Rattus norvegicus: one gene and its partners. The protein of the gene in region 1 interacts with the protein of each later gene in a pairwise test. Links are inferred from orthologs where the notes say so. Each region holds a gene or a part of one and is shown in the gene's direction. Other genes may lie near its edges. The genes, in order: Ldlrap1, Psd4 and Mapk8ip3.

What was found.
Region 2: the proteins of Ldlrap1 (region 1) and Psd4 interact in binary tests that used the Homo sapiens proteins (3 or more experiments, as listed by UniProt). The two-hybrid records come from large-scale screens. The link is inferred for Rattus norvegicus from reciprocal best matches to the Homo sapiens genes LDLRAP1 and PSD4.
Region 3: the proteins of Ldlrap1 (region 1) and Mapk8ip3 interact in binary tests that used the Homo sapiens proteins (3 or more experiments, as listed by UniProt). The two-hybrid records come from large-scale screens. The link is inferred for Rattus norvegicus from reciprocal best matches to the Homo sapiens genes LDLRAP1 and MAPK8IP3.

What each region holds. Positions count from the first base shown.
Region 1 is NC_086023.1:152,238,735-152,242,132, reverse strand, and holds the end of Ldlrap1 (low density lipoprotein receptor adapter protein 1), read left to right. Parts: intron 1-395; coding exon 396-540; 3' UTR 541-2,837; downstream 2,838-3,398. UniProt on the Homo sapiens protein: Adapter protein (clathrin-associated sorting protein (CLASP)) required for efficient endocytosis of the LDL receptor (LDLR) in polarized cells such as hepatocytes and lymphocytes, but not in non-polarized cells (fibroblasts).
Region 2 is NC_086021.1:27,555,922-27,559,571, forward strand, and holds part of Psd4 (PH and SEC7 domain-containing protein 4), read left to right. Parts: intron 1-1,445; exon of another isoform or gene 1,446-1,464; 5' UTR 1,465-1,556; coding exon 1,557-2,471; intron 2,472-3,650. UniProt on the Homo sapiens protein: Guanine nucleotide exchange factor for ARF6 and ARL14/ARF7. Through ARL14 activation, controls the movement of MHC class II-containing vesicles along the actin cytoskeleton in dendritic cells. Involved in membrane recycling.
Region 3 is NC_086028.1:14,438,797-14,442,446, reverse strand, and holds part of Mapk8ip3 (C-Jun-amino-terminal kinase-interacting protein 3), read left to right. Parts: intron 1-231; exon of another isoform or gene 232-358; intron 359-364; exon of another isoform or gene 365-690; coding exon of another isoform or gene 691-831; intron 832-2,308; coding exon 2,309-2,555; intron 2,556-3,274; coding exon 3,275-3,377; intron 3,378-3,650.

The sequences.
Region 1 (3,398 bases):
AGATGTGTATATACCCCAGGATCCCCTCCTGAGGACAGAGCTACCTCACCACTGACCTCTCCAGGTTCCACTGGACAGTAAGGCAGATGGAACAAACAAATCAGTAATGTCTCCTTGTGTTCTCGCCAAGTCTTCTCATGGCTGAACATTCTCTGCCTACAACTGCTTGGTAGATACCTGGGCTCTGTTAGAGCAGGGTTCTGTGGCCTGCCCCAGTGCTCTGACTCTCTTGCGCATCCTGTTGTCAGGGGCTTTACCTCCTTGGCTAATCTTTGAGTCCAGCCATTTCCCGACTCATGGCCTCCCTTCGGGCCCAGTGCTGTCCAGGCTACCCCTGTCCTTAGCCCCTGCTAGCCCCTCACCTGATGCTTGGCTTACGCAGCTTTGCCTTCCAGGCTGGCGCAGTCACGGACAAACCCTCAAGTCCTGGACACTGGACTGACAGCACAGGATATCCATTACGCACAGTGCTTATCGCCCACTGACTGGGACAAGCCTGACAGCAGTGGCTTTGATCAAGACGACGTCTTCAGCTTCTGAGGGCCTGAGGCTGGCAGTACACGGCTGGCCTAGCCATGTGGTGGACCACCAGCCACCTGCAGCAGGACAACCAGCCCCAGGAGCCATCAGCTGCCTTTGGCCAGTGGCGTCAGAGCCTGCAGATTTGAGTTGCACAGTCACGCAGGGAGAGGGGTTAGAAAGATGCCTGGGGTATCTGGTTGATGACTCCTGGTTTATGCTCGGAAACCAGGTTCAATTCAGGTGCTCATGGTGTGTGCAGGGCAGGGCTGGCCTCCTGGCCTCTCTCCTGGAGCCAGTATCCCCGCTGTGGGTGTCCAGACAATGACCAAAGTGTTGCTTGTTCCTCTTCTCTGGGGCATCCTTACTCCTGAAGCAGTAGGAGCCTGTCGTTCTTTGTGTGCTGGATGGGACATGGCTTTCAGGAAAGTCGGGGTCCTCAAGCTCGGCTTCCTCAGGGCTGAGAAGCTGAGGCTTTCAAAGAGGCAGCCCCTGACCAAAGACATTTAATCTGCACTTTAACTCTCACGTAATGGACGTAATGGACGTGGTTCGAGGTCCGTGATGGTGCTCTAGGAGTAGAGTTTGCTTCCTGCCCTCCCTCCACAAGAGGGCCCCAGTCCCTGACATGGTCCACATAGTGCTAGGACCTAGTGTACCAGCTGACTACGACTCCAGAGTCACTGCAACCATAGGGATCTCCTTTGTGGCTCCTGGGAGCCCCCAAAACAGACAAAGCTGGGCCTGCTCTTCTGTCTTGTCTGTATGTCCCTGTGCGTGCTCCGTTTTCTGCCTCCCCATAACTCCTGGGACGATACCGAAGCCTGGTACTAGGTTGTGGCAGGATATTTTGCATCCATTTTACAGATAAAGAAACTGAGGCAACACGTTGGGGTGGGGGGCGGTGGAGTTGAGAATAGAACCCAGATCTGATACCAAAGCTGCCGTCTGTGCTGCCGCCTTGCAGCCCACGCCTCTTTCTCTCCGGCTTTGTTGTCCTCCCAGGAACCAGAACGCCCCAGCTATTTTCTGACCAAAATGTGTTTCATAACAAACCGTCTGGTGCCTTTCCACACAGCGCTGGCGCAGGCCGCCATGCCCTGCTAGCTGCTACGTGGCTGACTTCTGTGCAGATGTGTTTGGAAGTCTGTTAATTCCCTGGGTGAAACAGAATCCTGCTCTAGAAACACCTCGCTGTCCTTTCCTGACCTGCAGCCTTAGAGGTCCCTCAGCCCTAGCTGGTGGTGGTTGGGAGGTCCAGTGGTGAGCTTCCCTTAGTCTCTCTTTTCTCCCTTCGCTGTTACGCAGGCTCTGGCATCCTGAACCACAGCCAAATCACAACCATCTTTCCATCCCAAGGAGCCCCCAGTGGCCGGCCGGGCTTGTGAAAGCAGGTCTCAGTATCCCCGGGAAAAACACACTCTTCCTGAGTGGCTGAGTCAAACCCGTGCCTTGGGGAGGGCACTTGGAGAATTCCGGCTAGAATAAAGGTTGCTAGCTCCCTTTCCGGCCAGCTCCGGGGCCTGCTCCCAGCCCAGGCGGCGGGGGTCCGGGCGCAAGGGGGGCTACTGTGCTTGCTGCCGGTGCTGCTGTGTGAGGCTGGGGCTTCTGAGTAGGAAACAATAAATGTTCTCTTTCTAAGTGTGAGCACCGCCTGGGGTGCTGCGGGTGACAAAGGGCAGGGTCGTCATGGCTTCTGCCCTCCGTGATGGGGGCAGCAGTTATGTCAAGAGACTGGGGTAGGCTGCTGCACCAGAATGGAGGGTGATGGCAGGTCCCCAGTTGGTGGGCCAGCAGGGTACCTTTCTTTCTCTGTAGACTGCCATTGTGACAAGGTCGCTGTTGGGTGATGTGAGACCCCGCCAGTGGGCCAGCACATAAGCGCTCACTGTTTCTAACTGTGTGTTCTAGTCAGGCCTGAACCCCTGAGACACGAGTGTGAGAGTGAGTGTGCCCATGTGTACCCCTTCCCAGGGCTGGTGGTATCCCCATGCCTCTCCAGTGACTCAGACTTTTAGGTTTACTCTGCTACTCAAGTTTGGACCAGGGCTCCGTGCTAGGAATTTGAATTCAAGTTGTGTGGCTTTGTGTTGAAGGGGGACAGAGGCAAAGGAATGGGTGGGTGGAGTCCTGTGACTTAAGACATCCAAAGTCCAGCTACTGCTATGGGTCAGTTACCTATTTCCTTGAGCCTCAGTTTTCCTGTCTGTAAACAGGGTACAGCAGTCTCCTGTGCCTATGTTCCTGGGGTTTTATGAGACCATTGCCCTTTAACACATGATTGGCAGTACCTATCCAGTGGCTCAAAGGTTTTCTCAGACCAAAAGGTCATTTAGATCGAATGTGTAAAGTCCTAGTGGACTCCTGGACAGTGCCTGCCACTCTGAGTGTACTTCTGTGTGCCAGCTGACTTACAGATGTCATCTGATACCTACTGCCTGGGGCATCATGCTCACATGGGGAGAGCAGTCCTCCCCCGAGTGCCTGGTAAGGCCACCGCCCCCGCCCCATCTTAGATCTCCAACCCTCACCCTGCTATGTAGGGATTTCCCAAGAGATGGCCGTGATCCAGGCGCTCATGTCCTACCCAGACTCTCAGTGACCATTGAGCAAGGCCACATTCCTCACGTTCCACAGGCTTCTGTCTGGGGACTCCCCCAGCCACTTCTTCCTGTGGCTTGTGGGGGGGTCTCAGGCATTGATGCCTTCATGCCGTTCAATAGGCTTACTTCAAGTGTGCAGAGGTGGGGCCTCCGGATGGCAGCCGATGAGCAGATTTCCTACAAGGCTCCATGGACCAGAGCAGACTACAGAACTCTTCCTTTTCTTCCCCCATAATTTGAAAAGACATTCAACAAGCTCATCTTTCGGTTTAAATT
Region 2 (3,650 bases), on another chromosome or scaffold:
CCCTGCAGCACAGGGGAAGTTCCCTCAGCAGAGAAGGCTGCAGAAGTTGTGCATTAAAAGGTAGGGGGTCTAAAGTCAGACCTGGGCTTCTCTTTCCAGCTCTGAGTCCTTAAGGCTTGGGCTCTGGTTTCCTTGTCTGTGTGACAGAAAGGCAAGAAGTGCACAGTCATCTTCCAGTGCCAGGACGTGTGTGTGCTAGTGAAGAGGAGCTACTTGGGCATAGGTGGATCTGTCATTCTTGTCTGTATGAGATTCAACTCGAGCTGTGGATTGGGAGCTCAGCTCACATGTTCACACGCGCTGTCCCCACATGTGTCTGGAACTTTCAGGCACGCCTACAGTCTTCAAGACAAAATTATAGTAGAAGAAAGTGAGATGTAAGGAAATATTTGATGGAACCAGGGTGTGTTTAATGCTGGAAAGGCATGTATGTCATACATCCTTGTACCTCTGTACTTCCTGGGGCTGGCGCAAGAGGGAAACAGGGTTCATCCTGAATGTCAACATCCAGTAGATTAAAACAAACCAGTCACTAAGAGGAATCAGGGCCATTCTGGCAGCCCTATAAGCTTGTGTTTCACACAGATGGTGGAGAGTCCTGCTTCTCAGCAATATCCCTACATGTTCCTTGGCTACATCTGAGGAGGGCCCACCTCCACTACCACAGGGAATGATTTACCAGAAAGTTTCTTCGCATTCGAAGCCTCGGGTACACGTGGCTACTGCTTTCTTTCTGGTCTCGCCCTCTCTGGAAGTCAAGACTTTCCACTTCATGAAACAAGCACTATGCTTCTTGGTGGAGCAGAGGGCTAGAGCTTGTCCTTCACAAGGCCGAGGGAGTGGGGAACATTGTAGGGCTTCTGCCTTACATTGCACCACTGTGCATAGCACATAAGGAAGCCACTTAATGAGCTGGCCTTGTGAACTGTGCAGGCCTGCAAACAGGACCCATACTCTGAGGGAGAAGGCAGGCTGTGGCCTTGCTCTCCTGGTGCCTGCTGCTCCTGTGAGCTTGCTCCTTTCTCCTTGCCTCTATAGCCTGTGTCTGAGTCTTCACACTCTGGCTTATATGTCTTCCCAGTTCTGCTGCTCTCATGGTGCCCTTAGGTACTCTAGCTGTTCCCGCTACACCTACTTCTGTCTCTCCATTCTCTTAATCCCAAGAGAAAGGCCTGATATCCATGCATTCTTTTTATGCTGAGCCACATTGGAACCCTTTGGCCAGCTGCTGGGTGTCTTTGGAACAAGTGCATACTGATTCCAATTTGAGGTTGTAAGGCCACATGACATGTGTGCTACACCCTTCCTCATAGCAGGACTCACAGGGTAGTAATGTCCCTTAGTAGATGTCCCAGGTGTGGGTTCTGAATGTGTCTAGCACTTTGGACATAGGACTTGAGTGGATTATGGTCCATCTCCTATGCACTCACTTTGTGCATTTACAGGCTAGATGTGGATTTCCAGTTCCTACCTTGGCTTGTGGACCTAATAATTCATGAAATGGGATTGTGAAAACAGGTGCTACCAAGGGCTTCTGCTCAACTGTCACTCTGTGGATGATGGGGGACCACCTCAGACCCATGGAATTTCTCAATATTTGCTTGGAAGACAACCTACAGCCCCATCCAGAAGCATATCCAAGTGAAGTGCATGGCCATCCGGGCCCTTCTGAACCTTGCCAGGAACATACTTGGCCATTTGACCCCCCTGAATCTGCCAGGCCTGATGCTCATCATGGCGACTCTGATGTGGAACCCAGTCACCTGGGAAACCGCCTGGTGCATGGGGAGGCCAGCCAGGCCCCAGCATCATCGAGGTCACTAGAGGACAACAGCTCTCTGGGGAGTCCACAGCAGAACCGGAGCTCATCCACCCAGGTGGTATTCTGGGCTGGCATCCTGCAGGCCCAGATGTGTGTCCTGGACCTGGAGGAGGAGCTAGAGAAAACAGAGGGACTCAAAGCAGGACTCAGATGCTGTATTCCACCGCCCTCTAAGGACTTCCTTGGTGATGTGGGCCTGAAACCCAGTCGGCCCAAGGAGGATGAAGACTCTGGGGATGACAGCAGTGGGTCTGAGGAAGAGAACCAGACCTGGCCAAAGAAGAAAATGCCAGGCTCCTCCCCAGAGTGGGGTGCTGAGGAGGACAGCATCTTCTTTGATAATCCCCTCTTCCTGGAAAGCCCTTGCTCAGACACCAGCACTGAAGGAGAATGCTTTTCCTGGGGCTACCCGAATTCCCACCTAGATATGAAGACCTGGCCTCATAGGCCTCAAACCCTGGATTCTCCTCTCCAAGAAGGCACAGGGCTCTGGACGCAAGAAAATGATCTGGATTTGGGGAGCAACACTGCTGACCATAGTAGGTGCTCCACCCCTCCATTCCCTGTGCCTTCCTATAAGATGCACCCCTGCTTGGCCTTAGGATCCACTGAAGGAGCTCCCATAGTACCTCCTGATCAGGTGGGTGAGGTAAGTTAGCTGAGGAAGCCAGCTGAGGGCTGTGTGGGGACATGACAGGGAGGGCCTCCTCGGGAGGCACAGGACACTGTTTAGAACGTAGCGTTTTGGGAGATCTGAGCTAATAGAACAGCAAACTGACCTGTGTGTGTATGTGTGTGTGTGTGTGTGTGTGTGTGTGTGCGCGCGCGCGCGCGCCAGCTTGGGGACCTGAGTTTGAATCCCTGGAACCCAAATAAAAGCTGGGTTTGTCAATGTACAGCCTGAAACCCAACACTGTAGATAAGAGAGTGGAGCTGGGGATCCCAGGAGCTCAATGGCCATCCAGTCTAGCCAAAGTAGCAAGCCCCAGGTTTAGTAAGAGATACTCCACCTGAAAAAAAGGTGGAGAGCAACAGAGGAGGCCATAACCTCTGTCTTCTACATGTTCAACATGCTCACATAAAAGCAACACACACACACACACACACACACACACACGCAGAGAGAGGGGGGGAGGGAGGCATGAACATATATACAGGCACACACACAGAGACACATAATATTCTCATACACAGATACACATATATAATTACACACACAGATAAACATATATTTTCACACATGCATACACTGATACACACATACACATATATACTCTCACACACAAAGATTGATTAATATAGACTTCAGAATAATGGGACATTTTATCAGTACAATAATGTCATTTAGAACTCAGATGCAAGTGAGGCCAGTAATCTCTCTGTCACCAGCTTCAAGGAGCTAGATAGACTGGCTCGGAGAACAAGCAACCTCTCCCTTCATGGTATTCCAAGAGATTCTGGGATCTTCTCTCCTACCTCCTAGGCATCCCCAAATGTCACAGAGTAACCTAAGCTGACCTTTGTCACACCAGAGAGCTGTCTATTTTAGGAGTCCTGTCCACTCTTTTGAGAGATTTCAACATCTTGTTTCTTTTAGCTCAGGATCCTTCATTTTCCTGTTGTACAGGGTCAGTAGATCAGGCCCTTGTTAGAACAATGACATAGGAGCCTTGATATCAATCAGGGTTTGTCACAAGTTATGTGAGACAGGCAGGGGGACAGTTTTCCCAGAAATTCTCTGCTTTAGAGATAAGAAGAACTCAAATGACAGAAGTCTGTAACCTTCTAATCTCTCCACTCCTAAAAAGCAATGGTGGTCAGAGCACTG
Region 3 (3,650 bases), on another chromosome or scaffold:
TTTCTTCTTACCATGTCTTTTCTATCTCTACTATGTTGTCTGAAGTCCTTCATCTCTCTTAAACCATATTGTTTTGTGTTTTAGTTTGTCATATGTTTTATTTGATTTTTCTTTTTTAAAAAGTAATTATACATTAAGTTCTTTTTATTTCATGTTCCATATTTTAAGGTTTTTCTAATTTCTTAATTTTTGTTTGTTTTTTGTTTTGTTTTTTGTTTCTATATACTGTAGTGTTTTAACCAAACAGTTGTGGCTACTCATGGTGAGGAATGACCGCTAAGAGTGTGGGTTCTTTGCAATACATTTGGAGGTCACTGCTCCCCGTTGATGGTTTAGGAGGTTGAGAGGTTTGCCCTAGGTAAGTGGTGGCCAGGGGGTGTATCCCCTGGGTAAGTGTGGCCCTGTAGGATAACAGAGCCGGGGCACTGGGGGAGGCACAGCCAGAGGGCAGAATGCCCCCATTTTTACCAAAGGGTCACGATAGGCAGCAGACCATGGACACTGAAGGAAGGAGGTGTGAAATAGTGGGACTCATACCCCTGGCTTCTTCCTGGCCTGCTTGGAATTTCTTTTGTGCCCTTTACTGGGTGGCAGCAGCAGACGTCTACATCTGGAAGGTACCTGGATAACTCCAAAGAGAAGCAAACACAAGTCTTTTGAGAGCTACATCTCAAAAGCTCCATGTAAGCCATGCTTGCCTCTTTTGGCACTCACAAGGATATGAAGAAAAAAATGTTTCTCCCTTGTCATACTGGGCAGAAGCTGGATCCAGATACAGAGCTACAATTTTGTTACAGAGTCGTTTCCAAGATGACTGGACTGCATGCTGGTGTAAGGATTCTTGCCTCTGCATTGCTAGCTAGGACTGAATTGTGTTGGCTATGGGCCATTGTGGCCACTGTAAGTTACAGAACAGCATCTTGAGCTCCACTCACTTGATGCCGGGAACACCATCAATTCTGACAAGAGAGTTGTCCTTTGCCAAGCATCCCGTGCACAGTTGTTTATTTAGAAATAAAGCAGTGTGGTAGATAAAGACAGAACCTCGTCCTTTGAAGACATGACAGTCTTCAGTACTGAGGGACTAGTACTACTGCCTGGCAGTGGTCCAGTGAGTTGAGCAAAGGCATCCCCAGAACCAGCTCCGACCTCTGAAAGCCAGGGACAAACTGTTGAGTTCATATCTCGGCATTTACCCAGCTCTGCACAGAGCCATGTACTCCTTTTTCCTCACTGTATCCTGGTGAACATCCTCACCAACAGAACACTGTTCTGAAGGCTGCCCTCTCTCTGGAAGACCCAGGACAGTACATACCTGCGATGTTTAGTTGTTCTCCTTGGCCTTCACAACAAGCAAAGGGATTTGAAGGGCAGCTGTTGCCTGGAGTAACCAGGGCACCTACTCAGTCACATGTCGTACACAACTGTCAATAATAATTAATAGAGGAGCGTTTGGGGCAGTTTTCATTGTGACTGCCTAAAGTTTTATCAGGAAAGAGCCAAGAATGAAATGTGTGCTTCTTGTTTTATACCCTTCAGTTGAGTGCTGGTTTTCCTGTCACAAGATTTATAAGGTTAGCAGCTGGCTTCTCTATGAGCCTGAGTTTCCTCCAGAACAGTTCCCATTTTTTTTTTTTTTCTTTTTTCTTTTTTTCGGAGCTGGGGACCGAACCCAGGGCCTTGCGCTTGCTAGGCAAGCGCTCTACCACTGAGCTAAATCCCCAACCCCAACAGTTCCCATTTTATTAAAGCATAATTTGCATTGCTGTTCAGGGCTAAATTTTGGTTCAGCTGATGTGTGAAAAAAGCATTCAGGATCATAGGAGGTCCCAGCCATAGAATCAGAAACACTGTCCCTCTCTACCACTCTCCTCAGCCAGGGCCAAGCATTTGTGTGCTAGAAGTGGTTAAGAGGGAGTAGTAGTAAAGTGTTTAGTGTATGGCACACCTGGCTACCCAGTGCCAGGTAGCAGCTTCCTTATCCCTGGGTAGAGCCCTTTGCCCCATGCTAGTCTGCCCACAACTGCAAAGGTCACCCACTGTGTCCTCTACCATGTCCTCTGTGTAGCATCACATCAGTCATGATTGTGCTGGGCTATCCTAAGACAGATATAAGCTGAAAATCCCACTCATCATTGTTCAGGAGTAACTAGGCCCAAAGGAGATTCCTGCCTCTACAGGTGGGCACAGTGTTGTTTGTTTGTAACCGTGTAGCAGAGAAACAGAGCCATGGGGCCTCAGCAATGTCTCTAACCATGGCACCATGGCTTACTGTGATGTTCTTCCTTCTTTCTCTGTTTGGCTCTAGTGTCCAAACGATGAGATGTCTGAGTCAGGCCAGTCCTCAGCAGCTGCAACACCCAGTACCACAGGTACCAAATCCAACACACCCACATCCTCCGTGCCCTCAGCAGCTGTCACACCACTCAACGAGAGCCTACAGCCCCTGGGGGACTATGGCAGTGTCACAAAGAACAACAAACGGGCCCGAGAGAAGCGCAACAGCCGTAACATGGAGGTCCAGGTCACCCAAGAGATGCGGAACGTCAGTATTGGTGTGTAGTCTGTCCAGTGCCCCACCTGCCATCCCATCCCTGGTGAGAGGCCATGTACCCGCTGCTCACTGCCTCTCTTGTCCACACCTGAGAGGTGTTTCTTCCTTTTTGGGTTTAGCTTGAACAGATAGAATAACTAAGACTTCTATGGCAAGTACCACAGGTAGGCAGTTTAAATAGCTGTCCAACGTTAGGAGGACAAGGACCAAGGTGCAGGCAGTCTCTCCTGAGGTCTTTCTTGCTGGGCTTACAGAGGACAAACTCCCTGCGTCCTCACAGTATGTCTGTGTTCTAATCTCATAAGGACCCCAGTTGAGTGAGATGAGCCACGTGACCTCGTTTTATTTGATCACTTCCTTAAAGACCAGACTCCAAGCTGGTCAAGGCGGTATACATCTGTAATTCCCAGCTCTTGGGAGGTAGAGGCAGGAGAATTAGGAGTTCAAGACTAGCCTAGGGTGCATGAGATTCAGAGAGAGGGAGACACCCAGTTTTGAAACTTACACTGGCCAGGCCAGGAGTGAGAGCTCCCCTCAGCAGTGCACACCTGTTTGTTACAGGCTTTCCTCCCTAGACTCTGAGAGTTTCCATTCACCTGGGCAGTTGGGGAGAACCCTTTTTTCACAGTCATGTCTAGAAGAAGTGAGTGTAAATTCTGTAGATGTGGGGCAGAAGTTTTCAGGCTGTCTGCTCACACAAGGTTCCTGTGTCTGTACTAGGTATGGGTAGCAGTGACGAGTGGTCCGATGTTCAGGACATTATCGACTCCACCCCAGAGCTGGATGTGTGTCCGGAAACCCGTCTGGACCGCACAGGAAGCAGGTGCTCATTCAGACAGGCTCTAGATGAGGGATTCAGTGTGCTTGGTGGGGTGGGGAGTGGAGAGGTATCATCATATCCCCGTCATGTCTGTACACACATGGCAGGGTCATTAATCATTGGACAGGTATATCAGTCAGCTTCCTTAAATCATCAAGACAGAAGTGACTCGAGCCTTTAGTCAGAGCACTCGGGAGGCAGAGGCAGGCAGTCTCTGTGAGTTCAAGACTATACAGAGAAACCCTGTCTCAAAAAAACCTAAATAAATATAAACAA